Macaca mulatta: one gene and its partners. The protein of the gene in region 1 purifies or fractionates together with the protein of each later gene. This does not show direct contact. Links are inferred from orthologs where the notes say so. Each region holds a gene or a part of one and is shown on either strand. Other genes may lie near its edges. The genes, in order: ANKRD52, PPP6C, PPP6R1 and PPP6R2.

What was found.
Region 2: the proteins of ANKRD52 (region 1) and PPP6C purify together in Homo sapiens (affinity purification with mass spectrometry; 6 studies listed by BioGRID and IntAct, with this or other methods). This does not show direct contact. The link is inferred for Macaca mulatta from reciprocal best matches to the Homo sapiens genes ANKRD52 and PPP6C.
Region 3: the proteins of ANKRD52 (region 1) and PPP6R1 purify together in Homo sapiens (co-immunoprecipitation; 3 studies listed by BioGRID and IntAct, with this or other methods). This does not show direct contact. The link is inferred for Macaca mulatta from reciprocal best matches to the Homo sapiens genes ANKRD52 and PPP6R1.
Region 4: the proteins of ANKRD52 (region 1) and PPP6R2 purify together in Homo sapiens (affinity purification with mass spectrometry; 3 studies listed by BioGRID and IntAct, counting the BioPlex papers as one, with this or other methods). This does not show direct contact. The link is inferred for Macaca mulatta from reciprocal best matches to the Homo sapiens genes ANKRD52 and PPP6R2.

The regions. Positions count from the first base shown.
Region 1 is NC_133416.1:63,418,388-63,426,156, reverse strand, and holds the start of ANKRD52 (serine/threonine-protein phosphatase 6 regulatory ankyrin repeat subunit C), read left to right. Parts: upstream 1-2,961; coding exon 2,962-2,988; coding exon of another isoform or gene 2,989-3,114; exon of another isoform or gene 3,115-3,321; coding exon 3,322-3,405; exon of another isoform or gene 3,406-3,714; intron 3,715-3,871; coding exon 3,872-3,950; intron 3,951-4,147; coding exon 4,148-4,218; intron 4,219-5,249; coding exon 5,250-5,450; intron 5,451-5,978; coding exon 5,979-6,066; intron 6,067-6,210; coding exon 6,211-6,353; intron 6,354-6,653; coding exon 6,654-6,866; intron 6,867-7,127; coding exon 7,128-7,206; intron 7,207-7,513; coding exon 7,514-7,628; intron 7,629-7,769. Other genes in the region: uncharacterized protein LOC144332932, read right to left, coding at 2,626-3,114. UniProt on the Homo sapiens protein: Putative regulatory subunit of protein phosphatase 6 (PP6) that may be involved in the recognition of phosphoprotein substrates.
Region 2 is NC_133420.1:22,609,770-22,616,873, forward strand, and holds part of PPP6C (serine/threonine-protein phosphatase 6 catalytic subunit), read left to right. Parts: intron 1-589; coding exon 590-655; intron 656-2,794; coding exon 2,795-2,936; intron 2,937-7,104.
Region 3 is NC_133424.1:67,582,769-67,590,565, reverse strand, and holds the start of PPP6R1 (serine/threonine-protein phosphatase 6 regulatory subunit 1), read left to right. Parts: upstream 1-3,376; 5' UTR 3,377-3,590; coding exon 3,591-3,614; intron 3,615-4,573; exon of another isoform or gene 4,574-4,913; coding exon of another isoform or gene 4,914-4,922; intron 4,923-7,797. UniProt on the Homo sapiens protein: Regulatory subunit of protein phosphatase 6 (PP6). May function as a scaffolding PP6 subunit. Involved in the PP6-mediated dephosphorylation of NFKBIE opposing its degradation in response to TNF-alpha.
Region 4 is NC_133415.1:1,015,006-1,022,109, reverse strand, and holds part of PPP6R2 (serine/threonine-protein phosphatase 6 regulatory subunit 2), read left to right. Parts: intron 1-1,244; coding exon 1,245-1,330; intron 1,331-1,874; coding exon 1,875-1,955; intron 1,956-2,352; coding exon 2,353-2,450; intron 2,451-2,624; coding exon 2,625-2,682; intron 2,683-2,992; coding exon 2,993-3,117; intron 3,118-3,426; coding exon 3,427-3,590; intron 3,591-4,743; coding exon 4,744-4,903; intron 4,904-5,006; coding exon 5,007-5,095; intron 5,096-5,865; coding exon 5,866-6,067; intron 6,068-7,104. UniProt on the Homo sapiens protein: Regulatory subunit of protein phosphatase 6 (PP6). May function as a scaffolding PP6 subunit. Involved in the PP6-mediated dephosphorylation of NFKBIE opposing its degradation in response to TNF-alpha.

The DNA of each region.
Region 1 (7,769 bases):
CTAGGTGACAGAGTGAGACCCTGTTTCAAAAAAAAAAAAAAAGGTGAAAATGAGACCGGGTGCAGTGGCTCACACCTGTAATCCCAGCACTTTGGGAGGCTGAGGTGAGCGGATCACGAGGTTAGGAGATCGAGACCATCCTGGCTAACACGGGGAAACCCTGTCTCTACTAAAAATACAAAAAATTAGCCTGGCATGGTGGCGGACACCTGTAGTCCCAGCTACTTGGGAGGCTGAGGCAGGAGAATGGCGTGAACCCCGGAGGTGGAGCATGCAGTGAGCTGAGATGGTGCCACTGCACTCCCGCCTGGACGACAGAGCAAGACTCCATCTCAAAAAAAAAAAAAAAAAAAAGGTAAAATGAGAAACAAAGGTGTACAATTTAACCAGATTGTGGCAGTATAAACTAAGTATGTAAGTGTTAAGGAGAACAAAAGGAAAAGAGCCTATTAACCAGGGGAGACTTCCTAGAAGAGGTAAGTTTAAAGCAACATTTTATTTCTTTGTAATTTTTGTGTGTGCATGGAATCACGGAGTGATTGCTCCTAAGCAATATTTTAACTTTTATTTTCAATATGGTAAAAAATTTAAAAATTCTAAAAGGTATATAGTGATAGGTAAATTTCCCTCTCATTCCTTATTTCCTGTACCCCAGTTTTTCTTTCAAGGAAAAAAGGACTGTTACTAGTGTCTTAAGTATCTTTCTAGTAGGAAGGCAAGGGAAGGCTTTTTTTGTTGTTGTTGAGACAGAGTCTGCCTCTGTCACCCAGGCTGGAGAGCAGTGGGTTCTCCTGCCTCAACCTCTCCAGTAGCTGGGATTACAGGTGTGCACCACCACACCAGGCTAATTTTTTATATTTTTGGTAGAGATGGGGTTTCACCATGTTGACCGGAAGGCTTTTTTTTTTTTTTTTTTTTTTTTTTTGACAGAGTTTTGCTCTTTTTGCCCAGGCTGGAGTGCAATGGCACATCTCGGCTCACTGCAACCTCCGCTCACTGCAACCTCCGCCTCCCGGGTTCAAGCAATTCTCCTGCCTCAGCCTCCCAAGTAGCCGGGATTACAGGCGCCCGCCACCATGCCCGGCTAATTTTATGTATTTTTAGTAGAGGCGGGGTGTCATCATGTTGGCCAGGATGGTTTCGATCTCTTGACCTCGTGATCCGCCCGCCTCGGCCTCCCAAAGTGTTGGAATTACAGGCGTGAGCCACCGCGCCCGGCCAGGAAGGCTTTTTAAAAATGTATTTTCGCAGGGTGCGGTGGCTCACGCCCGTAATCCCAGCTCTTTGGGAGGCCAAGGCAGGTGGATCACCTGAGGTCAGGAGTTCGAGACCAGTCTGACCAACATGGTGAAACTCCCGTCTCTACTAAAATAAAAAAATTATGGCCGGGCGCGGTAGCTCAAGCCTGTAATCCCAGCGCTTTGGGAGGCCGAGACGGGCGGATCACGAGGTCAGGAGATCGAGACCATCCTGGCTAACACGGTGAAACCCCGTCTCTACTAAAAAATACAAAAAAAAAAAAAAAAAAAAAAAAAAAAAACTAGCCGGGCGAGGTGGTGGGCGCCTGTAGTCCCAGCTACTCCGGAGGCTGAGGCAGGAGAATGGCTTAAACCCGGGAGGCGGAGCTTGCAGTGAGCTGAGATCCGGCCATTGCACTCCAGCCTGGGCGACAGAGCCAGACTCCGTCTCAAAAAAAACAAAAACAAAAACAAAAACAAAAATTAGCCAGGCAGGGTGGTGGGCGCCTGTAGTCTCAGCTACTGGGAAGGCTGAGACAGGATAATCACTTGAACCCGGGAGGCGGATGTTGCAGTGAGCCGAGATCATGCCACTGCACTTCAGCCCGGGCAACGAGAGTGAAACTCCGTCTCAAAAAACAAAATAAAATAAAATATATTTTTATTTTTAAATTTTTTTCCTCTCCCCGCAAGGGAGGACCTTTATATATAAAGCCTTGACAAGACGCCAGCATGCTGCACTTCGTCCATTATGTGTTCTCTTCAATGTGTATTGAGTTGTGAAACTCTGAACAGGACCCTGGATCACCTTTCAGAAATTGTATCAATTTTTCAACTCACTTTTCGTCTTCCTCCTTTTTCCAATTCTGGGTTGAGATGACTTCCATTCATTTCTTCTCTAACTGACGGCTTTCTGGCCTCTCCATTGGAGGAGGGGAAGCGCCACATGCTGTTCTGGGAAGAAATTGTAGAGTGTTTTCCACTTTAACCTTGCAATGGAATCAGTAAGGAGCTGGAAAATGTCCCTTCTCTTGGTCTTGGCGGCCTTTTCCAGTTGCCAGTTGTCATGGCCTCTTTGTGGGTGTTTTCTGCAGTAGAATCCTCCTTGGGGTTTCTCCGCATTTTGAGCACTTTTGCTATTTCTTCTCTACCGAACTCACGCATCCGCCAGTGGAGATACACGCTTTCCCTCCCTCTGGGGATATTGCCATACATAATTCCCAGTTCTCCACCCGCCAGTTCCCCCTAGTCTGTGGGGGATTTCGGGGTGTGGAATCACTGACGGGAGGAGTTAGCTCGGGCGGGAGCATTGTGGGCTGGGTGAGATCTGGCCCGCCGTTCGGTCCTCAGTTTGGGAAGCACCGCGGGACCAAGGCCCAGGTTTCCGCTAGGATCTTGTGAGGAACCCCTTGGGCCGCCAGACTGGCGCAGCCAGCTGCGGGAGCCGGGGAGCCGGCGCGTGAGTTCGGGGGTGCAGGGGCTGCAGGGGCCGCCAGGGTGGGGCGGAGGGCGCTGCGGCTGGGGTCCGTTTGCTCTGGGAGCGCCGGGACTCGGACGGCCGCCAGGGAGCGCTGCGGCCTCCCGCTCGCCCGCCCCCCGGTAGGCGGGGCCGCGCTCTCCCTGCAGCCGCCGCCGCAGCCGCCGCCTGGGCCGCTCCGTGTCCCCGGTGGAGCCACCGCCGCCGCCGCCGGGAGCTCGATGCGGACGGAGCCCGGGCCGGGCCATGGGGATCCTCAGCATCACGGACCAGGTCAGCCCTCCTGCCCTTCCCCGCTTCCTCCTTCCAGGGCTCCGCGCTACCGCCACGCGAGCCCGGGGATGTGCGGCCTAGGCTGGGCCCGAGCCCGGGGCTCCCGCAGCTCCCGCCCCGCCCCATGCCGCGCTCCCCTCAACCAAGCCGGTGTCCTTGGGGACCTGGCAACCGGAGGAGGCACCGCGGGAGCCCGCTCCAGCCAGAATCCCCAGAGTGGAGCCCCTCCACGGACGCCCCCCCCCCCCAAACCTGGGTGCTCCCCCACCCCCACCCCCACACCGGTTCCGCTCCGGCTCCAGCCCGCTCTCAGATTGCCGGTTCTCCCTGCAGCCGCCCCTGGTCCAGGCCATCTTTAGCCGAGATGTGGAGGAAGTGCGTTCCCTACTCTCGCAGAAGGAGAACATCAATGTGCTGGTGAGTTGGGAGCAGGGAGGATGGCGAGACCGGAATCCTGGCTCCCGTGTTCTGGACCCCTCCCCACCGGTGGGGCGGCTCCGTGTCTCCTCTGCTCAGATGAGGCCGCAGTTCTTTCCATCCTGGAGTGAAAGCCTACTCTGCATTTGGGGATGGAGAGCAGGTCAGGCTTACAGCCCAGATCACTTGGGCTGGGGATGCCCAGGAACGTTGTTCTCTTCTGAACCTCCGGAGTCTGCAGCGCCCCCACCCCTCCTGGAAAAAGGAGCCGGCTTCTCAGCCCATTGGCCCTGACTCCACCCTCCCTAGGTGCTTGCCTTTGACTCCCAGTACTGGGACTTAGGACCCTGCAGAAACTATGGGAAGAGGTTGTGGGGAAGGGCCTGGAGCTCTGAGGCTTGGGCTGGGGTGCTTGATAGCCCCCTCACCCCGCGCCCACAGTCCCTCCTCTTTTTTGCCTTCTTAGGACCAAGAGAGGCGAACTCCATTGCATGCTGCTGCCTACGTAGGCGATGTCCCCATCCTCCAGTTGCTACTGATGTCAGGTGAAAGTGGGGAGCTGGAAGGTGTGGCACATAGGGAGGGAAGGGAGGGGAGGAGTCTTTTTTGATATTCAAGGATTGCTCTCCCGGGCTTGGTCCAGGCAAGGCTCCAGCTCCATTCAGATTTCCTGGCCTGATTACTGGCTTCCTTCATACCCCCTCCTCACCTTCCATCAAAATAGGAAATTATATCCCCACAGGTGCTAATGTCAATGCTAAGGACACACTGTGGCTGACCCCTCTTCATCGTGCTGCTGCCTCCCGAAACGAGGTATGCGCCCCCACCTTCTTTTACCCTTTCAAAAAGGATGAGTTGCTTAAAGGTGGAAGTTAAGGGTCAAGGAGCCTCAGTCCTCAGCCCTACAAGCTGTTCTACCCCAAGTAGTGAGGAGATCAAATCTTGGCCCCTCCCTCCTACCCCTAGAACTGGCTGGTAAGGGGGCTGAGTGCTGCCAGCTGATGTGACTCAGGGAGAGCTTAACACTGGGCTGGCAGACTGCGGGGGCCCTGCTGCCAGGCCTGAGTGACTCATCCCTCCCTGGGGGGCCACCTTAAGTCTGATCCCCCTCTGGGCACTGAGATTTCTTTCCTTGTGATGGGGGATGGGTATAGTAATCTGTTGCATCCTTGGCCCTCAAGTAGCTTGAAAGTTGACAGCACAGGGGCCAAACGTATTTCATCAGTTGGGTCCTTTGCCCTATTCCCATCAGCCCTGCAGACAGGGAAAGGGGGACCTCCTCCTCAGTTCATCACTTCCCTGGCTCCAGCTACCGGGGGAGGGGCCGAGGCCAGTGGGAATGAGGTAGGTGGTGGTTAGGAGGGGCATGTTAGCTCGGGTTTTGCAAAGGAACCGGTATCTGTTTGCTTACTGAGATACTGAAAATAATTTTGGTGCCTATGAGAAGGCTAAAGAGGGTGTTCAGGGCAAGGTGCAGCAAGAGCATTTAGTTTTCCTAGAAGTGGTGGGGGGTTGGGATGTGTGGATCTCCATGTGTAGATTTGTTTGGGAATGGATGTATGTGTGAGTGAAGATTTTCATGGTCTAAGTTGGCGAGTCAGGTGGCTTGAAGAAGAGCAAAGGGTCCTTGTTTTACTCAGCAAGGTAAGGAAGAGCTCAAGTTCTAAGAAGATCCAGAAGATGGGAAGTAGGTATTGAGAGGCTAGGGATGTTGGAAAAATGAGAAGAGACTCTGTGCTGGGGAAGATGGGGCGGTAGATGCTCTGCTGACCTATTCCTCCTTCTATTTCCTGTTGTTTTACCTCCCGCTCCTACTCTCTCTTTTGTCCCCTGCCCCTCAACAGAAGGTGCTGGGGCTGCTGCTGGCACATTCAGCAGATGTGAATGCCCGGGACAAGCTGTGGCAGACACCACTGCATGTGGCTGCTGCCAACCGGGCCACCAAGTGTGCTGAGGCTCTGGCACCCCTGTTGAGCAGCCTCAACGTGGCTGACAGGAGCGGGCGCAGTGCTCTGCACCATGCAGTGCATAGTGGGCATCTTGAGGTGAGGACTGTTCCCATCCAGGCCCAGCTGGGGCTTTCCCTTTTCTTACCTTCCTACTCACCTTTCCCTGCTTCTGGGCCTTCAAGCCTGAAGGATAAGCAGCCCAGATGGTTATATAAACACTAAAACTCAAGCGCTAAATGAATGGTCAGACTAGATTAAAATTCTTAACTTGGACTTCAGGAGGTTGATAAAACCTTGGATTTTGCTTAGAAAATATCTAAGCAAAATTTTTGCTTACACGCCTTTCTGAAGAGAGTACGTGTCTTTCAGCACATTTGCAAAGACAAGAGTTTAAGAACCACCAAATCACCTGAAGAGACTCCCTTGTTTCCCTCAAAGTTCCAGATCTCTCCAGTATCTCCTCCTTAGTGCCTGCTTCTGCTGTTCCCTCAAGTCCTCCAGGTTGTTTTGCTCATGGAAAAAGGCATTAGGCTGCCTCAGCCTTTTCAGATGAGGCCTCTGCTCTTAGGTAGGTTGAGGGCACGAATCTGACTCTGAACAAGTGTCTTTCATATCCTGATACAGACGGTGAACCTGCTCCTCAACAAGGGAGCCAGCCTGAATGTCTGTGACAAAAAGGAGCGGCAGCCTCTACACTGGGCAGCTTTTCTAGGTGAGAGAGAATACACGGGAAAATCAGAAATTTAACATTTAGGATTCCTAGAGCAGGGATATGGGGTTGCAGCCTTTGAAGAGAGGAGTGCCGGGCCTTAGAGTTTATCTTCTACTTCCTTTAGAGTGTCTTCTCTTTTCTCAGGGCACTTGGAGGTCCTGAAACTGCTGGTGGCACGGGGAGCAGACCTCGGCTGCAAGGACCGCAAGGGCTATGGGCTGCTCCATACAGCTGCTGCCAGTGGCCAGATTGAAGTGGTGAAGTACCTGCTTCGGATGGGAGCGGAGGTCAGGGCTTTGAGCTCTGGGGTTGGGGACTATGGTCAGTGAGTAGGAGATTATAGAGTCTGTTATGGAGATATGAGATATTGGGTTGTTGGTGTAGTTTTGGGAGGTTGGAAGGGCGTGGTAGAGAGGGTCTGAATAATGCTTACCTTAGCCATAGTACCCTGAGTACCTTAGTACCTTGGGTCAGAAACCCCAGAGGAACTGAGGCAGTCATTGGATTTCTGGGATCTGTAGGCTACATGTGCTGGCTTCTACTTTGTTTAAACTGATACCGCCTTACTCTCACTGCTGAATATCCAGATCGATGAGCCCAACGCTTTTGGAAACACAGCTTTGCACATCGCCTGCTACCTGGGCCAGGATGCTGTGGCTATTGAGCTGGTGAATGCCGGAGCCAATGTCAACCAGCCGAATGACAAGGGCTTCACACCACTGCATGTGGCTGCAGTGTCCACCAATGGCGCTCTCTGCTTGGAGCTATTGGTTAATAATGGGGCTGACGTCAACTACCAGGTGCCTGAAGGGATAAGGCTTAGACCAGTGGGGAGCGAAACCTGGCTCTAGGGGTCCTGACTGTATCTGGATAACTCTCGTGGAATTATCCACTTGCTTCCTGGGGTAATCAGACCTTGCCAGGGACTCAGGAGAGAGTGGGCTAAGAAGGTGCCATATGACCCTTTTGTCCTTAGAGATATGTCCTTGGAAGGAGATAGGGCATTCTCTGTGCTTTGCACTGGAAAAAAACAAAAACAAAAACCCACCATGTTTCCACAGAGCAAAGAAGGGAAAAGTCCTCTGCACATGGCTGCAATCCATGGCCGTTTCACACGCTCCCAGATCCTCATCCAGAATGGTATGGACCTGGGAGACTTTGTGCTCTCATCCCTTCCTCCCCCAAGGAACTCATTTCTAGAATCTCCCTAACTTCCGTCTCCTACCCTCTTCCAGTAGGATAGGCCCTTGGAACTCTGACCAAGGGACTTGTGGAAATGGCCCTGCTCTGCCCTGCCCAGTCTCCTAAGGCCTAGAAACAGGATAAAACATGTAGAATCCTGGGCCTGGCACCTGATGCATAGTAGGCACTCAAATCGTGGCTAGCTCACGAGAGTGGTCTTAAGCCTGAGGTCCACCTGAGCTTGTGTGTGTGTATCCCCTCACAGGCAGTGAGATTGATTGTGCCGACAAATTTGGGAACACGCCACTGCATGTGGCTGCTCGCTACGGACACGAGCTGCTCATCAGCACCCTCATGACCAATGGCGCAGATACCGCCCGGTGAGTCAGGGCCCTGACTCCACTTCTGGGCTGCCCAGATCTGCATAGACTGCTCACATCAACCATGGAGTCACAGAGAAGCTTGCCAAAGGGCACCTTGGAGAACCTCCTTCCCTGACTCTAGGGTAGTGGTGGGTCAAA
Region 2 (7,104 bases), on another chromosome or scaffold:
TTCCCGCCTGGGTAACAGAGCCAGACCCTGTCTTAAAAAAGAAACAAAAAATGATGAAATATGTAATTTTTTTTTTAACTGATCATTGAGAAGAGACTCCATGGCTGTGGAGCCTGAGGGTACATGACTCTTAACTGTAGAATATGGGAATATCTCTGTATGACACTGTGAAGTGTCATGTAAGTTCAGTTTGGAAGAAAAAGAGATATCCACTTGTTTCCTTAATCTCTTGTCTCATTGAAATAGATACAGAATTTGGGTTGGCTGTTAGATTAGCTTACTGAGAAATTGGACAATTTGTAAAGGATGTCAGAATTCTCAAGAGATAGATGGGGAGATGTATGAAAGAAAATGAGAAAGGGAGCCTATGATAATGATCTAGTAGTGGTTTTATGGTAACTGAGCTTTATTTGGTGCTTTTTTTAGTCGTGAGAACTGTGTGCTTGGCAGTTTGGCTTACACTTTATTTCTTAAAAATGTAAATATTTGGAGTCCTCTTAACTGCTTCTTTACACATTTCACTCTCAGTTTTGTTGTTTTGCTTCTTAACAGGAATTTGTAATCAGCATATATTGCATTTCTTTTATAGTTTTATGACCTTTGTGAACTGTTCAGAACTGGAGGTCAGGTTCCTGACACAAACTACATATTTATGGTATGTAAACACCACTGATATCAAGTGCTTGTTTAACATGGAAAGGATCTGACTTATTAAATGTAAATTGCATAATAATTTTTTGCCATGTGACAGTCCCCATTTCAGTATATGAAAAGGTGTGTATTAGTCCATTTTCATGCTGCTGATAAAGACATACCCGAGACTGGGCAAGTATAAAAGAAAGAGGTTTAATGGACTTACAGTTTCACATGGCTGGAGAGGCCTCATAATCATGCAGAAGGCAGGCAGGACCAAGTCACATCTTACATGGATGGCAGCAGGCAAAGAGAGAGAGAGAGACTGTGCAGAGAACTCTTGTTTTTAAAACCATCAGATCTCACGAGACTTACTATCATGAGAACAGCACAGGAAAGACTTGCCCCCATGGTTCAATTACTTCCCACCGAGTCCCTCCCACAACATATGGGAGTTCAAGATGAGATTTGGGTGGGGACACAGCCAAACCATATCAAAGTGATTGTGTACTTTTCTACATTTAACTATGTCCTCTAATTAATTGCCTTAGTAAGCCACTGTAGATAGGGTTGGGTAATAGCTATCAGTAATGAGTGGGCATAAAAATAACCCAGAACCCCTGGTTTAAGGCATAAATCTTCAATTGACTATTATTTATTCAAACTTTTCGAGCATTCATTTTTATCTCTTGTTAATCTATGGATGGATGAATATACATACCTACACATTTGCTATTAAGGTAGATGTTTGCTTTTCTTTTGGAATGTAGTGTTACTGTTGAACTTTTTCTGGATCCTTCTCTCATTATCTTTCCTTCTGAAAGTTTCTGGGTCACTTTCCTATTTTTTTTTTTTTTTTTTTTTGAAATGGAGTCTCGCTCTGTTGCCAGGTTGGAGTGCAGGTGTGATCAGCTTATTGCTACCTCTGCCTTCCGGGTTCAAGTGATTCTCTTGCCTCAGCCTCCTGAGTAGCTGGGATTACAGGCGCGTGCCACCATGCCCAGCTAATTTTTGTATTTTTACTAGAGACGGGGTTTCACCATGTTGGCCAGGATGGTCAGGATCTCTTGACCTCCTAATCTGCTGGCCTCGGCCTCCCAAGGTGCTGGGATTATAGACATGAGCCACCGCACTTGGCCACTTTTCTTTCAGTTGTTTTCCTATTGGTGTAATATTGGCCCAAGTCAGATATTAATGGGAAGTGTAAATAGTATATTATCATATATGGTTGTTAAATGCAAAACTGAACCTAGAATGCTGTTATAATTATGGTATTTGTTTTTACAAAAAAATTTTTTTTCTTCAAGTAGGCAGCTCTTCCAATACAGTTAAAATGATTTCTTAAAATAGAAAATTATTTTATCTGGGCATGGTGGTGCACACCTGTAGTCCCAGCTACTTGGAGGCTGAGGTGGGATGATTGTTTAGGCTCAGGAGTTCTAGACCAACCTGGGCAACATAGTGAGACCCCCATCTCTAAAAAAAAAAAAAAAAATTGAATTTTTAAAAATTAAATTACTTAAAAAATACTGGTTAACAGATGACCAAATCAACTAATGCAGGTAATAGAGGATTGAAAAAAATGGTTTTGCCAGGTATGGTGGCTCACACCTATAATCCCAGCACTTTGGGAGGCCGAGGTGGGCAGATCACAAGGTCAGGAGTTTCAGACCAGCCTGACCAACATGGTGAAACCCCTGTCTCTGCTAAAAATAGAAAAATTAGCCAGGTGTGGTGTCGGTGTGCGCCTGTAATCCCAGCTACTCAGGAGGCTGAGGCAGGAGAATCACTTGAACCCAGGAGGTGGAGGTTGCAGTGAGCCGAGATTGCGCAACTGCACTCCAGCCTGGGTGACAGAGTGATACTCTGTCTGGAAAAAAAAAAAGCGAGAAAATGGTGGTTTTTCAGGGAAAGTTCTTGAGAGAATGGCACAGCAGATTCTTGTAGGTTTCCCTGGAGTCCAAAATCTTGTTTCTATAAACATTTAATAGAAACAGTTTGTTTACTTCTATTTTAATTTTTGTTAAAATCAAATTTCCAAATATTTCAGTATGTAACTTTTTATTGTAGTTATGAACCATGAGTTTGTGCAGTTTGATGTAATTTGAAAAGAATATTGTGGCTATTGTATTGTTTGTAACTGTACACTTTTACTTCACAGGGTGATTTTGTAGACAGAGGTTACTATAGTTTGGAGACCTTCACTTACCTTCTTGCATTAAAGGCTAAATGGCCTGATCGTATTACACTTTTGCGAGGAAATCATGAGAGTAGACAGATAACACAGGTCTATGGATTTTATGGTAAGAACTCCTATTTCTCTGATTCTGAATATTATTTTACTTTCCTCTTTGGAAAACAAAGCTACACAAGTCATACACATGCTTTATGTATATTATTTTCCCCACATCCTCACTCCTTCACTCCTCCCCAACAATTGAAAATCTTATGCTGGAGAGATTACTGTTAACTTTTTGGTGTGCATCTTTCTAGATCTGTGCCTCAAAGTGTAGTCCTTAGTTTATCTTGCTGGAATCACCTGGGTTCTCATTAAAAATGTAGATTGTGGGCTGGATGGGGTGGCTCACACCTGTAATCACAGCACTTTGGGAGGCTGAGGCAGGCGGATCACAAGGTCAGGAGATCGAGACCATCCTGGCCAATATGGTGAAACCCCGTCTCTTCTAAAAATACAAAAATGAGCTGGGCGTGGTGGTGCATGCATGTAATCCCAGTTACTCGGGAGGCTGAGGCAGGACAGTCGCTTGAACCAAGGAGTCGGAGGTTATGGTGAGCCAAGATCACGCCATAGCACTCCAGCCTGGCGACATAGTGAGCCTCCGTCTCAAAAAAACAAAACAAAACAAAACAAAAATGTAGATTGCTGGGCCTCACCACAGATTTATTAATCAAAATATTTTGGAGTGGGAATCTAGAATCTGCTGAAGGTGAATGTTCTGCACAAATTGGAGAGTCCATTCTCATCTATTTTGTGTGTGTGTGTATTTATGTGTGTTTATATATGTACAAACACACACTAAAATGGGGTCATACCTGATTTTTTGACTTTATTGTCATGTTTATAGCTGCATCATATACCATATGGATGTACCATAATTGATGTATCAGTTTTTTCTCTATCATTAGACTTTAGAGTTGTTTTTAAGCTGCTATTACACATCCTTTTACATATATCTCTGTATGCTCACTCCAGAGAATGCTAGGACCTCAGGGATCAGAAGCAGAACTTAGTCATAAAAAGCAAAATAGGCCAGGCGCAGTGGCTCACCCCTGTAATCCCAGCACTTTGGGAGGCCGAGGCGGGTGGATCACCTGAGGTCAGGAGTTTGAGACCAGTCTGACCAACTAAACCCCGTCTCTACTGAAAATACAAAAGTTAGCCGGGCATGGTGGTGGGGGCCTGTAATCCCAGCTACTTGGGAGGCTGAGGCAGGGAGAATTGATTGAACCCAGGAGGTGGAGGTTGCAGTGAGCCAAGATTGCGCCATTGCACTCCAGTCTGGGCAACTGAGCGAGACTATGTCTCAAGAAAGAAAAAAAAGCAAAATAGCTACTTCTCTAAAACTTTTATTTGGTTGAAAGTTACAGAGAGAGAGAGAGAGAGCGCTTATTAGGAACCCCCTTGAAGGAAATATAATTATCAAGATTATGAATTTGGATTTTCCTTGAGCACAATTAAGGCAGATATTGAGAGATTTGGAAACATTAATTGCAGAACCCTTTAGTTTTAAATTTTATATTTTGAATTATCTTCTGTCATTATAAAGATAGGCTGGGCTGGGCGTGTTGGCTCATGCCTGTAATCCCAGCACTTTAGGAGGCCGAGGCAGGCAGATCATGATGTCAGGAGATTGAGACCATCCTGTCTAACATGGTGAAACCGCGTCTCTACAAAAAATACAAAAATTAGCTGGGCATGGTGGCGCTTGCCTGTAGTCCCAGCTACTCGGGAGGCTGAGGCAGGAGAATCACTTGAACCTGGGAGGTGGAGGTTGCAGTGAGCTGAGATTGTGCCATTGCACTCCAGCCTGGGTGACAGAGCGAGACTCTGTCTCAAAACAAAAGAAAACAAAGATACTCTGAACTCTCTTACTCTTCAGTTTGTCTGCCATTATCAATTAGAGAAATTTTGATAATTGTTTTTATATAATTTTTTAAATACTTGTAAAGTTAGATAATATTTGTCTCCTTTCTTTTTTCTTTTTTTTTTTTTTGAGGCGGAGTCTCGCTCTGTCGCCCAGGCTGGAGTGCAGTGGCCCGATCTTGGCTCACTGCAAGCTCCGCCTCCCGGATTTATGCCATTCTCCTGCCTCGGCCTCCCGAGTAGCTGGGACTACAGGCGCCCGCCACCTCGCCCGGCTAGTTTTTTGTATTTTTTAGTAGAGACGGGGTTTCACTGTGTTAGCCAGGCTGGTCTCGATCTCCTGACCTCGTGATCCGCCCATCTCGGCCTTCCAAAGTGCTGGGATTACAGGCTTGAGCCACCGCGCCCGGCCTATTTGTCTCCTTTCTACAAGTTACTTCTTATTTTCGTTTACAAAACAAACACCAATTGAAATACAACTTTTGGATCAATATTTTAGATACCATACTATGATATTAGCTCAGTGAAGATACTAAAACTAATGTTATCAAAACACACACACCTACTATATATATGTAACTAATGCTACATGCATAATATATAAAACGCATATTGTTATATATGACTAATATATGACATATGTTTTTTATATGTGACTGTTTTTATATATACAGTTATACTCCAGAATTCGCCCAGTTTTCATCAATGTAGGGCTAAAGGGGAAAAAAATGGGGTGAGGAAGGAGGACATTTTAATCAAGGTGCCTTGACTGAGGAAAATGACAGCAACACAAAATCTAGTATTGAACTTTCTTGTTCCCAGAGCTCTGTTCTTGTAGTGGTGTTGTATGGTTTTGTTTAATAAAATGAAGCTTAACAGCTCCTCGGGAATAAGATAATTTTAGTTATTATAAGACTTACATTGATTTTAAAGGAATAAGATATCCCTATATAACTTTACACTGGGCCTTCAGTTCAACACATGCTGGGGCCGGGCGCGGTGGCTCACGCCTGTAATCCCAGCACTTTGGGAGGCCGAGGCGGGCGGATCACAAGGTCAGGAGATCGAGACCACGGTGAAACCCCGTCTCTACTAAAAATACAAAAAATTAGCCGGGCGCGGTTGTGGGCGCCTGTAGTCCCAGCTACTCGGGAGGCTGAGGCAGGAGAATGGCGTGAACCCGGGAGGCGGAGCTTGCAGTGAGCCGAGATCGCGCCACTGCACTCCAGCCTGGGCGACAGAGCGAGACTCCGTCTCAAAAAAAAACAAAAAAACAAAAAAACAAAAAACACATGCTGGGCAGTTACTATAGAGCCAAGCTCAAGATCCCTGCCTGCAACCTGAGCTCATTGTTAGGGCTCTCTTATGCCAAGTTTACATAACAATCTTGCTTCACATAGATATATAATTGAGAAAATCTTGGGGAGTGGTCATAACCTGCAGACTTCTTTCCTATATCATTTTCAGCTTCACTTAAGGCAATAATGGTATGTCAGGTTTTTTTTTTTCTAAAATTATGGAAGAAGTCAAAGTGCAGAGCTTCCATGGTGTTAACAGAAGAAGTGTGTACCCTATTAACTATGTAGACAGTCAGGGTATAGTGGCTCACACCTGTAATCTCAGCACTGTGGGAGGCTGAGGTAGGAGGATTGCTTGAGCTCAAGAGTTCAAGACCAGCCTGGACAACATAGGGGGACCCCCATTTCTACCAGAAATAAGATTAGTCAGGTGTGGTGGCACATGCCTGTAGTTCCAGCTATTCGGAAGGCTGAGGTGGTAGGATCGCTTGAGCCCAAGTGGTTGAGGTTACAGTGAGCTGTGATCTTGCCACTGCTGATTGCGCCACTGTATTCCGACTTGGGCGACAGAGTGAGACCTTATCTCAAAAACAAAAAGCTATGGAGGCAGCAGGAAGAGTGTTCAACTGGGAATTTGTAAGAACCTGACTGGCAGTCTGTCCTCAGTTGTGATCCACTGAAGCTCAAGTGTTTAGTTGGACAATTTGCAGAAAATCTCAGAAGAGACAACTTGGCCCTGAGAAGAGTTAGGAATTGCTCATGTTCCTATAACTAAGGGTCCTCTAATTTGTTTGATCTGATTATCCTGCTAGAATGGTCTCCTTAAATAAATTTATCTGTTTACCAGAATTACCTAATATTAACATAACTGTAAAAACATTTGCTTCAGGTTGTGTGAAATTTGTATTTGACTCTTCTAATGATAGCATTTTGGTTAATAATTTCAGCTGCTTCTTAGGTCCATTCCAGGAATGAAGAGCAGTACTACATCCTTAGGAAATACAGTCATGTGCCACATAATGACATTTCAGTCGATGATGGACTGTATATACAACAGTGGTCCCGTAG
Region 3 (7,797 bases), on another chromosome or scaffold:
TCATTGCGCTGTCTGGGTTTATTCCGGGCCAGACCGTTGGCACCAACGGGCGCAAGCGCGTCTACGGCGGCGGGGTTCAGGAGTGGGCGGGGTCGGAAGCACGCGGGCGCACGCGCACTGCACCACCCAGGCGTGCGGCCCCTCCCGCACCTGCGCACCGAGACCGCCGCGGGAGGGCGGGGCCTCCTGCGTCGTCCTGCGCTAGGGGGATTGTGGGATAGTGGCGGAGGGAGCCGGGCGTCGGAGGCCCTGAGGCGGGCCGCAGAGCCCGGAGACTGAGCGGCTTTGGGGAAGGGGCGGTTAAGGAAGTAGGCCTCGGCGTCCGTCGGTCGCTGCTCGGCTCTGCGGCCCGTTTGGACCGCGGAGGAGGACGTCTTCCCCTCCCGCGGGGCGCTGGGTTGGAGTGTGGAAACCGAGGCAACTTCCCCCGTCTTCCCGGCTGAGGCGCCTGCGCGGGCCTCGCGACCGGGCTCGCCCGCAACCCGCCTTGGTCGGCGCGCCCACCTCGCCTGCGGACCCCGGAGGCGCCTACGCGGACTCGTGACACCCCCAGCCCGCCGGCAACCCCACCCGGCTCTGACCCCCTCAACTCTGCAGGACCCGGCGCGCGAGGACCCCACGACCCGCGGGCGCCTGCGCGGACCCCGCGAGCCCCGGCGCCTGCGCAAGTCCCCGACGCCGCCCCCGCCCCTACTTACCGGGCCCCGCAGCAGGGGCCGGAGCCGCCGGCGGCGGGGCGGGGGGGGCGCCCCGATGAGCCCCGAGTGCGAGGAGCCGCCGCCCCCCCTCGCAGGTGAGCGGCCCGTGTCGCCCGACCCTGCCTCTCCAGGACCAGGCCCCCACGTCTTCCCCTCTCCGGACCCCCGCCGGTCTTTTCTGCTTGGGATCCTCCTTCCTTCGGGTTCCCTCTCCACGGGCCCCCGTTTCTTCCCCCTCGACCCTCTCCAGTCTCTTAATCTCTCCTCAGCTCCCCCGCCACCCACCTCTCAGTTTCTTGCCCTCGGGCTTTTCCCACCCGCTCTCTTTGCAGCTGCGCTCCCCAGTCCCTGAGCCTCAGCTCCGCTCTCTTGCCTCTCTGGCCGGTCCCCCGGCTCCCCAGGAGTCTTTCCTCCTGGTTACCCTGGACTTTGCCCGCTTACACCCATCTCTCTCGCCCCAATCTCTGCCCCGCCGCCTCTTCCGCGGCGCAGCCTCCTTAGATCCGTTGCCTGTCACCCCGGAGCTCAGGACTGGGGGAGCGGGGCTTGTCTTCACCTTGACCGACCCTCTCCCGCCTCCGGTTTCTTGTGCGAGGGACCTGGGAGCGGGGCTTCTCTGGAGCAGCCACCACTCCGGCCTGCTTCAGTGAGATGAAGCCTGCTGAGGGCAGGCAGGGCGCCTGGCGCTGGGCTCCGAGGAGGGGTCATCAGTCCTAGGCCCTGCCCTGGAGGTGGGGCCGGTCCCTGGAGGGGGGGGGGGGACAAAGGCAGAACCGGACAGTCACAATTCCTGTGTGTTGTGATGGAGGTAACTTAGGGAGCTGCAGGGGGCCACAGAGCGCAAGGCACTGGTGAGACTGGCTGGATGGATGGCTTTTTCTGTCTAGGAAGGATGAGTAGGAGGTGACAGATGGAGAGTGGGAAGAAGGGCCTTCCGGGGGGGGGGGAAGGAGCAGCACGTGCAGATATGTCAAGGAAGGAAGGTCGGAGTCCTGAGTGAAGATGTGTTGGGAGGGTGAGGGGCAGAGTAGCTCGGCCCGGGGTGCTTGTCCGGGCCTTGAATGGGACCTCTGGTTGGGGTCTTTCTTGCTCGCTCTTTGTACACACAGACATGACCATAAACATCCGCCTGAAAAGCAAGATGTTTCAGTAAAGGCAGCTGCGTAGACTGTCAGGCGCGGTACTGGGTTCACAGTTGTAGAGAAACTGCAGTGGGATTTCATCCAGCCCAAGGGCGAGGATCTAACCATCACCGTGCCCTGCAAATGCAGCAAGGACTGGAGATTGCCTGAGTAACCCGTGATGAGGACTTGGTTTACATCCATGCACAACACACGTGGAAATGCTCACGGCACCCGGCCACGTGTGCTTACTAGTGGTGGAATGGCTGTTGGAGCTGCTTGTGCTGTTTAAAATGTTATGCTTTTTTTTTTTTTTTTTTTAACTTTTGCCCAACATGTATCATTTTGCATAAGTTACATGAGACCACCTAACTCTAGTTCTGGGATTGGGATCATGAGAAGGCAGTCCAGCTAATTGTTAGAGGACCTTTTGTCAGACAGACCTAGGCCGAGTCTGGCTTCTGCTTTTCCAAGTGGTGAGACCTTGGACAAGTTGTTCTTCATCTGTAAGTGGGGATAGCAGACTGCTGTCCTCAGAGGGTAGTTCTAGGGATTAAGTGCAAGGTTTGTAGAAGCCTGGGGCAGAATGCAAGGTACATTGTGCTCTGCAATCAGTAGCTCTTTGGATGATGGTGATGATTTTGAGACTGAGTTTTGCTCCTTTGCCCAACCTGGAGTGCAGTGGTCTAATCATTGCTCACTGCAGCCTTGAACTGCTGGACTCAAGTGATCTTCCCACCTCAGCCTCCTGAGTAGCTGCGACTACAGGCACGTGCTGCAATGCTTGCTCAATTTTTGTATTTTTTTGTACACGCCCAGCTAATGTTTGTATTTTTTGTAAAGACTGGGTCTTGCTATGGTGCCCTGCCATGGTGCCCAGGCTGATTTCAAACTCGTGAGCTCAAGCAGTCCTCCTGCCTAGCCTCCCAGAGAGCTGGGATTATAGGTGTGGGACACCATATCTGGCCGTTCTTTCGATTGTTATTTGATTTGGGAGTGTCTGTTGCAGTGGTTCTCAGCTGGGGACAGTTGGCGATATCTGGAGATGTTTTTGGTTGTTCCAACTGGGGGGAGTGCTGCCAGTATCTGGTGAGTGGAGGTGGAGGCCAGGGATGTTGCTAAGTGTCCTCCAATGCACAGGCAGTCCCAGCACCAAAAAGAACTGTCCAGCCCAAATGTGGGCAGCGCAGAGGAGGAGAGCTTTGCTCCACTGCCGGGATGCTGTGTGTCGTTGTGGCTCATTTGCTCTGTTGTGACTCCTGAGCTGTGTGTTGGTGAGTTGTGTATTGCGAGTTGCCACCATCTTTGTGGCCGTTAGCTTTTGTTGGTTAATCTACTGTTTCTTTCCATTCGAGGAGAACCTGCTTGTCTGGTACCCTCCCCATTTTTTTTTCTGGGATGTGTGGCCCAGTGATCTTAACAGAACACCTTTCTCTGGCTTCAGTTTTCATTAATTCACAAGTAGCTTTAGTTGGGCCTGGCCTGACGCTAGATCCTGGGAAGTCAGCGTGTTTCAGGGGAGGCAGATGACTGAACAGGTACATCCTGTCACAGAGCCGAGGCTCACGTGCTGTCCTCGGGTGACTGTGGGATGCCGTGGAAGCAGTGTGGAGCAGGCCCCTGACACAGATGCAGTGGGGAGGCTCCCTGGAGGAAGTGGTGTCTGTGTGGGGGCCTGAAGGACCCAGGAGGAGCTAGTCAGGCTCGAAGAGCTCAGGGAAGGAGGAGGGAGTAGCCCAGTCTGGGCCGAGGGCAGTCAGGTGTGGCACCCATGCGGGAGATAGCAAGAGATGAGGTGAGAGAGACCCGGGAGCTTTGGTGAGAGTGAGGGGCCTTCCCAGAGGAGGAATCACTCGGCACCCGGCTTGGTGGGGCTCACCCGCCTTTCCATGCCAAACCGTGGTTTTTCCTTTGCACGCCAGTTTTGTGGGTCTTTCTCCACAGGGTGCTGCCTTACAGTAGCCCCATCTGTCAGGTATTTCCCGGATAAGGAAACTGGGGCTCGGTGGGGTGAGATCCTTGGTCTGGGCCACAGATATTTCAGTTTGGGGAGGTAAAATGGGAATGCACGCTTTTCTGACTTCGGATCACATTGTAACACTAACTCTGCCCCATTCTGTTTTTCCAAAGAGCTATTTCAAAATCTGTTTGTTGATCTTTTCCTTTTTTTCCTTTAAACCTGTGGCCAGTTCAGGAGACGATCTGAATGTGGGCGTTCAAGTCCCCGTCCCAGTCCTCGGCCAGTGTTTCTAGACTCTTCTGTTTCCCAGTTATTCCATTCCCTGGGGTTGGACCAGGGCTACCAGCTCCCTCGGCAGGGTGTGTTTCTGGGGCCAGAGGGGGAGCCACTGAGGGTCCTCTTTAAGTGGGGACCCTCCCCAAGGCTTTCCCAAGCCACAGGAAAGCCCTCGCTCATCATCTTGTTGGGTCTTGGACAGGTTCCCTTCTACCAAATTGGTGTCCCTGATTCCTGCTTGCTGAGTGGGTGGTGCTGGGTTCTGCAGCTGGCACACCCCATAGGTCCTGCTCAGAGATGGTGGGGTGGCCATTACTGTCGCTGCGTCCCTGGAATTGGGTGTTCCCAAACCCCTTTCAGATTTGGCTGAGAGCTGACGGAGGCTTGGGAGATATTAGAGGGAGATGGTCTTGCTGTCCTTGGGACTCTGGGCCCTTTAAGGAGCTGGGTGCTGGCCAACCTGCTGCTGGTAGCAGGCTGTTTCTCTTCCTGGGGTACTGGCCAGGGGGCCAGGCGTTGGAGCTTCCGCTGAGCATGGGGGCAGCTCAGGCGGCTGTCTCTGGAGGCCCCCGGGGCCTTTGTGCCCTGGCCTCCATTTCTGGGTGCTCATGGGTCAGCGCGGGTTGAGGAGGGGTGACAGATGAAGCGTGGGCCCGTCAGTCCCCTGGCGGCAGAGCTGTGTTTGGACGGATGCCTGCAGCAGTGGGGATGGCTTTGTGGGAGCCGCCGTTAGTGCCTGTCCAAGCAGGGGAAGGAAGGGGCTGTTAGGCCCTTGAGGGGTGACTGGTGTTGAAGGCCCTAGAACACCACAGCAAAATAAGAAACCAGAGGCAATAGTGCAGAGCTGGTGGAGGGAGAATGGCAGAGGTAGTTTTCGTTTTTAATGGCTTCCTTTCTCATTTACAATTTCCCCTTCTTCCGTTTGCAGCCAGACTCTTGGTTTTCAAACGGTAGCTAAAAACTAGTGGTAGTCACTTCCGCTTTCTTGAAGTTGCTAAAAGTTGCAAAGAATGGGGGTGGCGGGGTGCACGGCGCCTGCAGTAGTATCCGAATGGTCTGAGGAAAAGTGCTTGAGTCACTTAGGCAAATGGGTAGAGTCTGTCTCCTGCTCCTCTGTTTAGCACCATCACCTTTGGGGTCGTGACGGTCCCTACCTGTCCTGCCAGGAAGCGTCTGGACGTGGCCTCAGGGTTGGACCGAAAGGGACTTGCACCTGCCAAGCTCCTGCTGTGTCAGGGCCACTTGCTTTAGCTCTGTGCCTTTCCACGGCAGCCCGCCCTGGTGGGCTGTGTCTCGTTTTCACGGACAAGGAAATGAGACTCAGAGAAGTCAAGTGTCTGCCCAGGTTCACCTAGTTAGAGTGAGCGTGAAACCCACCTCTCCTGCCCCATTCCCAGGGGTTCTAGCAGGCTTCATTAAGTTGGGAGAGGGGACTGAGAGGGCTTGAGGCCATAGTGCATTCAGAGTTTGTGGTGGAAGAATTCAGAGTTTGTGGTGGAAGAAAGTTTTTTTTTTTTCTCTTTTTTTCTGTTCTTCCGTATTTGCATCTTCATTCTGTTTAGAGCCTGAGAATTGAAGTTTGTAGTGTCGACCACCCGATTGCGTTTGAGCCTTTCAGTCTACTCTGGTTTTCAGAGGAGCCACTTGAGGGGGAGAGTTCAAGGGACTGTCTGGGTTCTCGGGGCCAAGGGTCTCGGATGCCACGCACCAGCAAGCACCCTCCTGTCTCGTTCTGGCAGCCCCTGCCCCAGTTCTCTGGGGAGCTGGGTTTGGAGGGGAAGCGTGATGCTTAACTATCCCCGAAGCAGAGGGTTAGTCTGTAGCAGGGGTAGGGGGTTTGGGGGCCGAGGGCTATGGCCTGTGCCCTTTAATCAGGTATCTTAGAAGTGAACGGTGGGCCTCAGTATGAGAATTTCTGCCTCTTGTTTAGAGACTAGGGCATCCTGGAAGCCTCTTGCTAGCCATGTAGCTCCGCCGCTCTGGGCCCCTTTTCAACATGAAACTTTCGGAATAATAAGAATTCTTCACTTGGTCTTTTTTTTTTTTTTTTTTTTTTTTGAGACGGAGTCTCGCTCTACCGCCCAGGCTGGAGTGCAGTGGCCGGATCTCAGCTCACTGCAAGCTCCGCCTCCCGGGTTTACGCCATTCTCCTGCCTCAGCCTCCCGAGCAGTTGGGACTACAGGCGCCTGCCACCGCGCCCGGCTAGTTTTTTGTATTTTTTTAGTAGAGACGGGGTTTCACCGTGTTAGCCAGGATGGTCTCGATCTCCTGACCTCGTGATCCGCCCGTCTCGGCCTCCCAAAGTGCTGGGACTACAGGCTTGAGCCACCGCGCCTGGCCCTTCACTTGGTCTTGTTGTGGAGCTGAGACAAGTGTCTGCAAGTGTGGGTCCATGGATTTTCTACAGATGTGGGTTTGGTGCTGCTCCTGTCCTGCCCCCATGGTGGAGGGGCTCACCTAGCTTAGGGCTGTTGGTGGTGAGGGATGGGGAAGGGGTAACCTGCGTGAGTGCCCCAGGGCGGAGCCTTGGCAGCTTCAGCTCTGCCAGGCTGGCCGGCATCTCGTCAGCTCTGTGGACGCTGGGGCATAGTACAAGGCCTGAGCCTGGCCCGGGCTCTGGCCCTGCCATGGCCGATGGCCTGAGGCAGGTTTTTTTTTTTTTTTCCCAACAGTTTTTATTGAGGTATTCCATACAGTTCATCCATTTAGAGTGCACAGCCAGGAGTGGTGGCTCACGCCTATAAGCCTAGCACTTTGGGAGGCCGAGGCAGGCGGATCACTTGAGGTCAGGCATTCAAGACCAGCCTGGCCAACATGGTGAAACCCCATCTTTACTGAAAAAAAAAAAAAATACAAAAAAAAAAATTAGCTGTGCATGGTGGCGCATACCTGTAATCCCAGGTACTCAGGAGGCTGAGGCAGGAGAATTGCTTGAACCCGGGAGGCGGAGGTTGCAGTGAGCCGAGATTGTGCCACTACACTCCAGCCTCGGTGACAGCGCAAGACTCTGTCCCAAAAAAAAATTAGCCAAGCACCGTGTTGCGTGCTTGTAGTCCCCACTACTCGGGAGGCTGAGGCAGGAGAATTGCTTGAACCCGGGAACTGAAGGTTACAGTGAGCCCAGATGGCGCCATTGCACTCTATCCTGGGCAACAGAGCGAGACTCTGTCTCAAGAAAAACAATAATAAATAAAGTATACAATTCAGTGGTTCTTAGTATATTCACAACATTGGGGAAACATCACCATAATTGATTTTGGAACTTTTTTTAAATCACCCTTTCCTTTCAGGAACTTTCCCCCATCCGCTCCAGCTCCTGAAAGCCTGTAATCTCCTTTCTGTCTCTATGGATTTGCCTGTTCTGGACGCTTCACATAGGTGGAAGTCTGTGGCGTGTCGCTCCTTGGGACTGGCTTTGCTGGCGTGGCGCGGTCAGCCTTTCGGCCCGCCTGGTCTCCCACGGAGAAAGAGCCCCTGTGTGTGTGCTTGCCACGTCTCGGTGCTTCGCTCGCCACAGCCTTAGGCCGGAAATTGGCAGTCATGATGAATGTGGCGGTTGCCCCTTGAGATTATTCTGGTCCCAGGTACACCCAGATCAGGAAATCCATGCCCCCGCTGCCGTCAGCACGCTGGTGAGTCACCTTTGCTGAGCCTGAGTTTTCTCTTCTGTGACGTGGACACTCGGTGGTCGGCCCGTCGCATTCCTTGTCAAGTGGGATGGGAAGTAGGGGATGGTCCCTT
Region 4 (7,104 bases), on another chromosome or scaffold:
ATCACGAGGTCAGGAGATCGAGACCATCCTGGCTAATATGGTGAAACCCCGTCTCTACTAAAAATACAAAAAACTAGCCGGGCGAGGTGGTGGGCGCCTGTAGTCCCAGCTACTCGGGAGGCTGAGGCAGGAGAATGGCGTAAACCCGGGAGGCGGAGCTTGCAGTGAGCTGAGATCCGGCCACTGCACTCCAGCCTGGGCGACAAAGCGAGACTCCGTCTCAAAAAAAAAAAAAAAAAAAAAAAAAAACACAGTGGGTTAGATGGGCACAGGCACAGCACATGTGTGGCAGAGGCGGGCCCAGCTGTGGCCCCTCCTCCCTATACCTGTGTAAGGTGAAGAAGCTCTGGATAGTCCTCCCTGCACCCCAGGACCATAGTGAGGGGTCTCCTGGGTTGGGCTCCATTAGGCCCTGGCGAGGTCAGGCCCACCGGCTGCCGTCATAAATAATAAAAGGGCAGGAGGAGCTTCCCCACATCCTGGAGGGCAAAGCACATGGGTAGAGGTCGAGGCCAGGGACGGCTCCCCGGGGCAGAGGCAGTTTAGGGAGGCGAGGGGCAAGCAGGAAGCCCTTGGGTCATCCCACACGATCTCCAGATGTGAGTCCTTCCAGGGCTCTGACCTCCCCGGAAAAACAGACAGGACACGTGCCTCGGCCTGTGGGCTGCTGCTGAGTTTGGGCCTGTGAGGCCGGGAGGAGGAGGCCGGCGTGGGGCCGGGAGGAGGAGGCCGGCGTGGGGCGGGGAGGAGGAGGCCGGCGTGGGGCCGGGAGGAGGAGGCCGGCGTGGGGCGGGGAGGAGGAGGCCGGCGTGGGGCCGGGAGGAGGAGGCCGGCGTGGGGCGGGGAGGAGGAGGCCGGCGTGGGGCCGGGAGGAGGAGGCTGGCTGCTTTCTTAGATTCTGTTCCGCGGCTTCTCATTTCTGGGAGTTCCTCACCGTGGGCTTCCGCACCAACAGACTTGGAACTCGGATGCCCATTGGGGTCTCGGTAGGAGCAGATGTACCCACCACCCTGCCCACAGTTGCTGCACCTCAATCTCAGTGTGGCCCCAGGTCCCTCCAGACACGCGGCTGTGCTGCCTCCTTCCCATCCAGCAAAGCCCGTGCTTCAGGCCCTCAGACGGACTGACCGCGGTAGCAGCGCCCCATCCTCCTGGACCCACGATGCACCTGCTGTAGCTCCTGGGTGCCTTGCGCCATCTGCACGGGGTCTCCCAGGGCTCACCAGGCAGCACTTCCCTTGCAGGGCTCCCTGCGGATTGCCGTGGCCGCTGGGAGAGCTTCGTGGAGGAGACACTGACGGAGACGAACCGCAGGAACACTGTGGACCTGGTGAGGAGGCTCGAGGCTGCCCCCTCGGCATGTGCACGGTGCTGGGACGCCGTCCGACGCTCCTGCCTTTGCCCTGAGGCAGAGGCCAAGGGAGGCACAAGGGCCGCACACCTGCCTGCTCCTGTTGCACGCGGCGCCCCTGCGTAGCCCGCAAGTGTGCAGTGTGTCCTCTGGGCTGGTGTCCATAACAGAGACCCTGTCCTGTGCCACACCAGGGCTGGGTCTCTGAGGACCTCTGTGCAGAGCCGGTGTTGGCCTCAGTTCCCTTCCCTCCCACTCCAGGAGCTGTAGCTTATTGGCAGAGGGCTCCTTTTGCCTGAGACCCACAACCTGCCCCCTGCACATGGAGGTTGGGCTGTCACGGGGCCTTGGCCTCACCTGGGCACCTTACACAACACGGCCTCTGGGGCCCAGAGATCTGACGAGTGACGTGCTGGGCGGGGTCTGGGAGCCCTGGGCTGGGCAGGGTCCTGGGCGCTGGGCTGGGTGGGATCTGGGGCGCTGGGCTGGCTCACACGCCCACCCCATCTGGCCTGTGTTTTAGGTGAGCACTCACCACCTTCACTCCTCGAGTGAGGACGAGGACATTGAGGGTGCTTTCCCTAACGAGCTGTCCCTTCAGCAGGTGAGGGCGTGGCCGGCACCTGTGTGCGCTGCGCTTGGTCCTCCAGACGAGTCTGATGGCATCTCACTAGCAAAGGGGAGAGGGGGCTCGTCTCCGAGCACGTATGGGGCGGGGTGGGTCTGAGGGGAGAACCCCAAAGTCACTCCACCTTGATGAGAGCGCTGAGAACACAGCAGATGGACTCCAAAGTCAGAATATGGGGCGTATCTCAGATGTGACCGCAGCGGGCGCGCAGCCTGAGTTTCGGTAGAATCGTGAGCCCTGAACGGTCAGAGTTTACTGCCGGCTTTTGCTGGAGGAGAAGCTCCTGAACAACTAGAGAGCCTGTGGTTCCAAAGAACAGCCTCCAGGCCTGAGGCTGCTCCATGACTGGTGTCCCTGCCTCCCTCCCTCCCAGGCCTTCTCTGACTACCAGATCCAGCAGATGGCAGCCAGCTTCGTGGATCAGTTTGGCTTCAATGATGAGGAGTTTGCAGACCAGGACGACAACATCAAGTGAGTCTGCTTGGACGCCCGTCCTTGATGCTGGGGTCCCACGGGGGCAGCTCCCTGAGGCCTTGCCAGGAGTGCGGCCTGATGTCCCTAGTGAGCACCAGGGGAGAAGAACTGCGGCCCCAGATGAGCAGTGAGGGGGCAGGAGCGCTGAGACCACCCTCCTTGCTCTTGCAGTGCCCCGTTTGACAGGATTGCAGAGATTAACTTCAACATCGACGCTGACGAGGACAGTGTGAGCCAGCGGGGCTGTGTGGCACTGTGCGGGGCTGTGTGGCGTGCGGGGCTGTGTGGCGTGCGGGCACCCTTTTCCCAGGCAGCTCAGGCCGCGCCCATGGCTCGGTCTGCCGTGGGCCTGTGTGGTGGGGCTGGTGGAGGCCCCTCTGTGGAGCTCGGAACAGTCGCTTTCCTTGCCCCTCCCCATCCTGCCCTCCAGCCCGGGGCTCCCACATCCTGAACTAAGCCCCTCTGGGAGCCCTTTGGGGAGAGCACCTCCTGTCTCCCCCAGACCCTCTGGAAACTGACCTTGGCGTTTTACTCGGCAGCCCAGCGCAGCTCTGTTTGAGGCCTGCTGCAGCGACCGCATCCAGCCCTTTGATGACGATGAGGACGAGGACATCTGGGAGGACAGTGACACTCGCTGTGCCACCCGGGTGATGGCCAGAGCCAGGTGCGGGGCCCGCCCATCCCCCAGAGCCTCTGCCGAGGAGGTGCAGCCACCAGAACACCTGTCAGACGCCCCGACGCCCTGCTGCTTGTTAACTCTGACTCGCAGAGCAGGCTCACCTGTCCTGCAAGTTCTGGGGCCCAACGCAGCGGGTGACCCTGAGGAGCCCGGAGCTGAGGCCTAGAGCCACTCCTGCTCCTCTCTCGAGATGATCTGTGCTCACTCTCAGCCCCGAGCTTGGGGCCGTCACTAACCCTCAACGTTAGGCGTCCATCCTGGGCCACCAGGCATCTGACTCTGAGTCTCCCCCAGGTTTGGAGCCCCCCATGCTTCAGACAGCTGCTCAAAGAATGGCCCAGAGCGCGGAGGCCAGGACGGGAAGGCGAGCTCAGAAGCACACGGAGATGCACCTGGGGCAGGTGCCCCCCTGGCCCCTGGGAAGAAGGAAGCCCCCACTGTGGAGGGTGACTCAGAAGGTGGCGCTGGGGGCCGGGGCTGTGGGTGTTGGGGACAGGACATGGTACCCTGGCCTGGGTGTTGTGGAAGCTTCATTTGGGGCTCACTGTGGCCCGGAGCCTGCATCCCCAGCTCTTTCCCAGCCATCCTGAGTAGGGGTCTGTGCTGCCCTGTGCCCGGCACAAGGTGGTCTCCTGGCCCTGCCTCTTGATTGTGGTCACTCAGCCACGTTGCCAAGGCTGGTGGGTGGTGTCCACCTAGTCTTCATCGTCCACCCGGCCCCCACAAAATTGGGCACGGGCCTGACGCCCTCCCCAGCACAGCAGCTCAGGCCGGCCGCCACCCTCACAGCCTACGTCTGTGGCAGGAGCTGGTCCACCTCACAGGCCGCATGGCTGATAAGACCCCTCTCCTTACCCCTGCCCTGGAGGCAGCACTGAGGCACTCAGGACTGTGGGCGGGGGGGACCGGAATCTGTGCGGCACTCAGGACTGTGGGCGGGGGGGACAGGAATCTGTGCGGCACTCAGGACTGTGGGCGGGGGGGACAGGAATCTGTGCGGCACTCAGGACTGTGGGCGGGGGGGACAGGAATCTGTGCGGCACTCAGGACTGTGGGCAGGGGGGACCGGAATCTGTGCGGCACTCAGGACTGTGGGCGGGGGGGACAGGAATCTGTGCGGCACTCAGGACTTTGCGGGGGGACAGGAATCTCTGTTAGGAGGTGCTGAGCTCTTAGCTGAGGCTGACGGAGCAAGGGTGACATCCTGGGGAAGCACGAACATCCCAGATAGGAGGGAGGCACCCCATCCTCGAGGCCAGGGAGGGGCCAGTGGTGCTCGGTGAGCTGCCGTCTCTGTCGGTTGCGTTCCTGGCTAGGGCAGGGCAGTGGTGTCACCTCCACGGTCAGTTCAGCCCTGCTGGAGGCCTGGGGCCCCTCAGGCGCCTCCCTGAGCCTCGGGTCACATGCCCCATGGGTGTTGGCAGCTTGTCAGGACCCTCAAGCTGCCCCGTTGCTCTCTGAGGGGCTGATGCGCACTGCCCAGCCCTCCCTCCTGGATCAGCTCCATGTTCCTGTCAACCTCTGTGGGGCCCCTGGGGTGGGGGTGCTGCCTTCCCTTTGCCTGCAGCACCCTAGGCAGGCCTGCCCACACCTGACCCGTGTCTCCCCCAGCAGGCGCCATGTGGACGGCAGTGTTTGATGAGCCAGTGAACTCGACACCCACAGCCCCAGGAGTGGTGAGGGACGTGGGTGCCAGCGTGTGGGCAGCTGGCACCTCAGCTCCAGAGGAGAAAGGCTGGGCCAAGTTCACCGACTTCCAGCCCTTCTGCTGGTAACAAATGCGCTGGCAGGAGGGGGCCGTGCCAGGAAGTGCCCGTCAGGGTCAGGAGGCGCCCGTCCCCCGGGACTGACCCTGTCCTCGTGCTTGCCTGCAGCTCCGAGTCAGGGCCCAGGTGCAGCTCTCCAGTGGACACAGAACGCAGCCGGGCTGAGGGCAGCCGGAGCCAAGGCCCTGAGAAAGCCTGTGAGTAGGAGTAGTGCAGGCAGCACCCAGGCTCCTGCAGAGGCCCAGCCTTGCCCAGTTTAAGGCCTGAGGCCAGCTGGCCGCCCTCCTTGGGGGCAGTGGGAGGTGGTGGCCAGGGCCCCGCATGCTGCTGGGCCTCTGGTGACGTTGGGGTTTGATACAGCAGTGGGACTGGAGCAGCCACGTGCAGATGGGGAGGCCCCCAGGGGGAGGCAGCAAGGCCATCGGGCTGGCCCTGAGTCCGGTCTGAGTAGGTGGCACAGCCCAGGCCTGCACCCCAGGTTCCGGCGAGCAGCCCCGGGACCCCAGTATTGAGATGTATGTGGGTGGGGTGCTGGCAGGAAGCCGTTCTGGGGCCTGATCAGAGCCCCTGGCCCCCAGCCCCCTAGTCAGGCTCAGAAGCTGCCCCAGATAAGGCTGAGAGCTCCAGGAGAGTGACAGCTGGCTGCCAACACTGGTGTCCCAGGTGCTTGAAGGAGCTGTGGCAGGACCATATGAGGCGGAGCGGGCCCCTCCCTGAGCCTGTGTCTTCCTGTGAGACCAAGGCGTGTTGCCCTGTATCATGGGGGAGGCAACAGGGTTGCTTGTGTGGAGACCCCATGGCAGGTGCGTGAGCGTGTCTGCCTCATCATGCGGCTCTCACACAGGCACACGTGTGCAGGCAACAGGTGCATGTGAGAGGCCACATGTATGGGGGCCCTATGGCCAGGGTGGCCGTGCCCTGTGGCCCCTCCTGCCTCACTGGACAGCACAGGCCTCCTCCTTTGCAGTCAGCCCAGCTTCTCCATGTGCCTGGAACGTATGTGTCACCAGGAAGGCCCCCCTGCTGGCCTCTGACAGCAGCTCCTCTGGGGGCTCCGACAGCGAGGACTACCAGAAGGCAGCGAGTGCCGTGGATGCCGTGAGCAGGAGTCCTGGCCGGGAGGCCCCCCCGCGGCCCACAGGGGCCAGGACAGAGGAGGCTGTCGGCAGGTGTGTGGGGCGTGGGGAGCGGGGCGGGCCTGCCCAAGTGCAAAGGGTGCGGCTTCCAGGCCGTCTCCAGGTCTCAGCTCCCCGCAGAGCAGGCCGAGGCCAGGCCAGAGGTCTTCCCCACACTGCTTCCCCCATGGCCCTGTGGCCCTCAGAGGCTGGCTCGGGGTGGTGGTGCCTGTGACCCTCAGAGGCTGGCTCGGGGGGTGATGCTCAGGGTGATGCTGCACATTAAGTGGAGCCAGATGGGAGGAGGGTGGGGCTCGTTTCTTGGACAGAACATCTGTGTTCTCCGTTGTGAGTGGTTAAGACAAGAAGACAGGGCCTGGGTGTCCCAGACAGTCCTCCAGGGACGTGGGGGAGCAGCCCCTACCCCAGATCCCGGTTGGAGAGAACAGCCCAGCTCTTGGGGCTCTGGGCCTGGCTGAGCCGCCTGGGATCTGGGTACCCTGGTGGTCAGGGAGGGGCACAGAATTTAAGTCCGGCAGGCGAGCGGGCATCTGTGGAGCTCACACAGACCTCGCCCGCTGCTCCCCTTCCACGGGAGGCCTGTGATTCCCAGACGCCTCAGAAGCAGGACAGTAGAATGGGGGCGGGGGCCTCAGGACTGCATTTGGGGGGTCCAGACCCTGAGAGTTGGAGGCAGCTTGCAGGTGGGCAGAGGCCCAGGCTCCCTTGAGCCCCCAAGAGCCATTCCTGGGGAGAGAGTGGAGAGGGAGGCACTCCCTGTGAGGAGGCTGGCGTCTGGCCGGCCCCTCCAGCAAGCTGAACCCCATCCATCCCTCCACAGGAAGAAGGTCCCTGGCATTCTTCAGTGAACAGATACCTCTCTGGCCTCTGGGGTCAGGGGGTGGGAGATTAGCAGGAGGGCAGGACAGATGGGGTAGATGCCAGGGCCAGGTAAACCTAAGGGGGAGGGTAGGACTGGGCTTGACGGGGGGACGAGGGTGCACCCGGCAAGGGTACAGCTGTGCAAAGGCCCTGGGGCCTGAGCTCCCAGTAGGTCCAGGCAACAGTGGGGAAGTCCTTGGACTGGATTC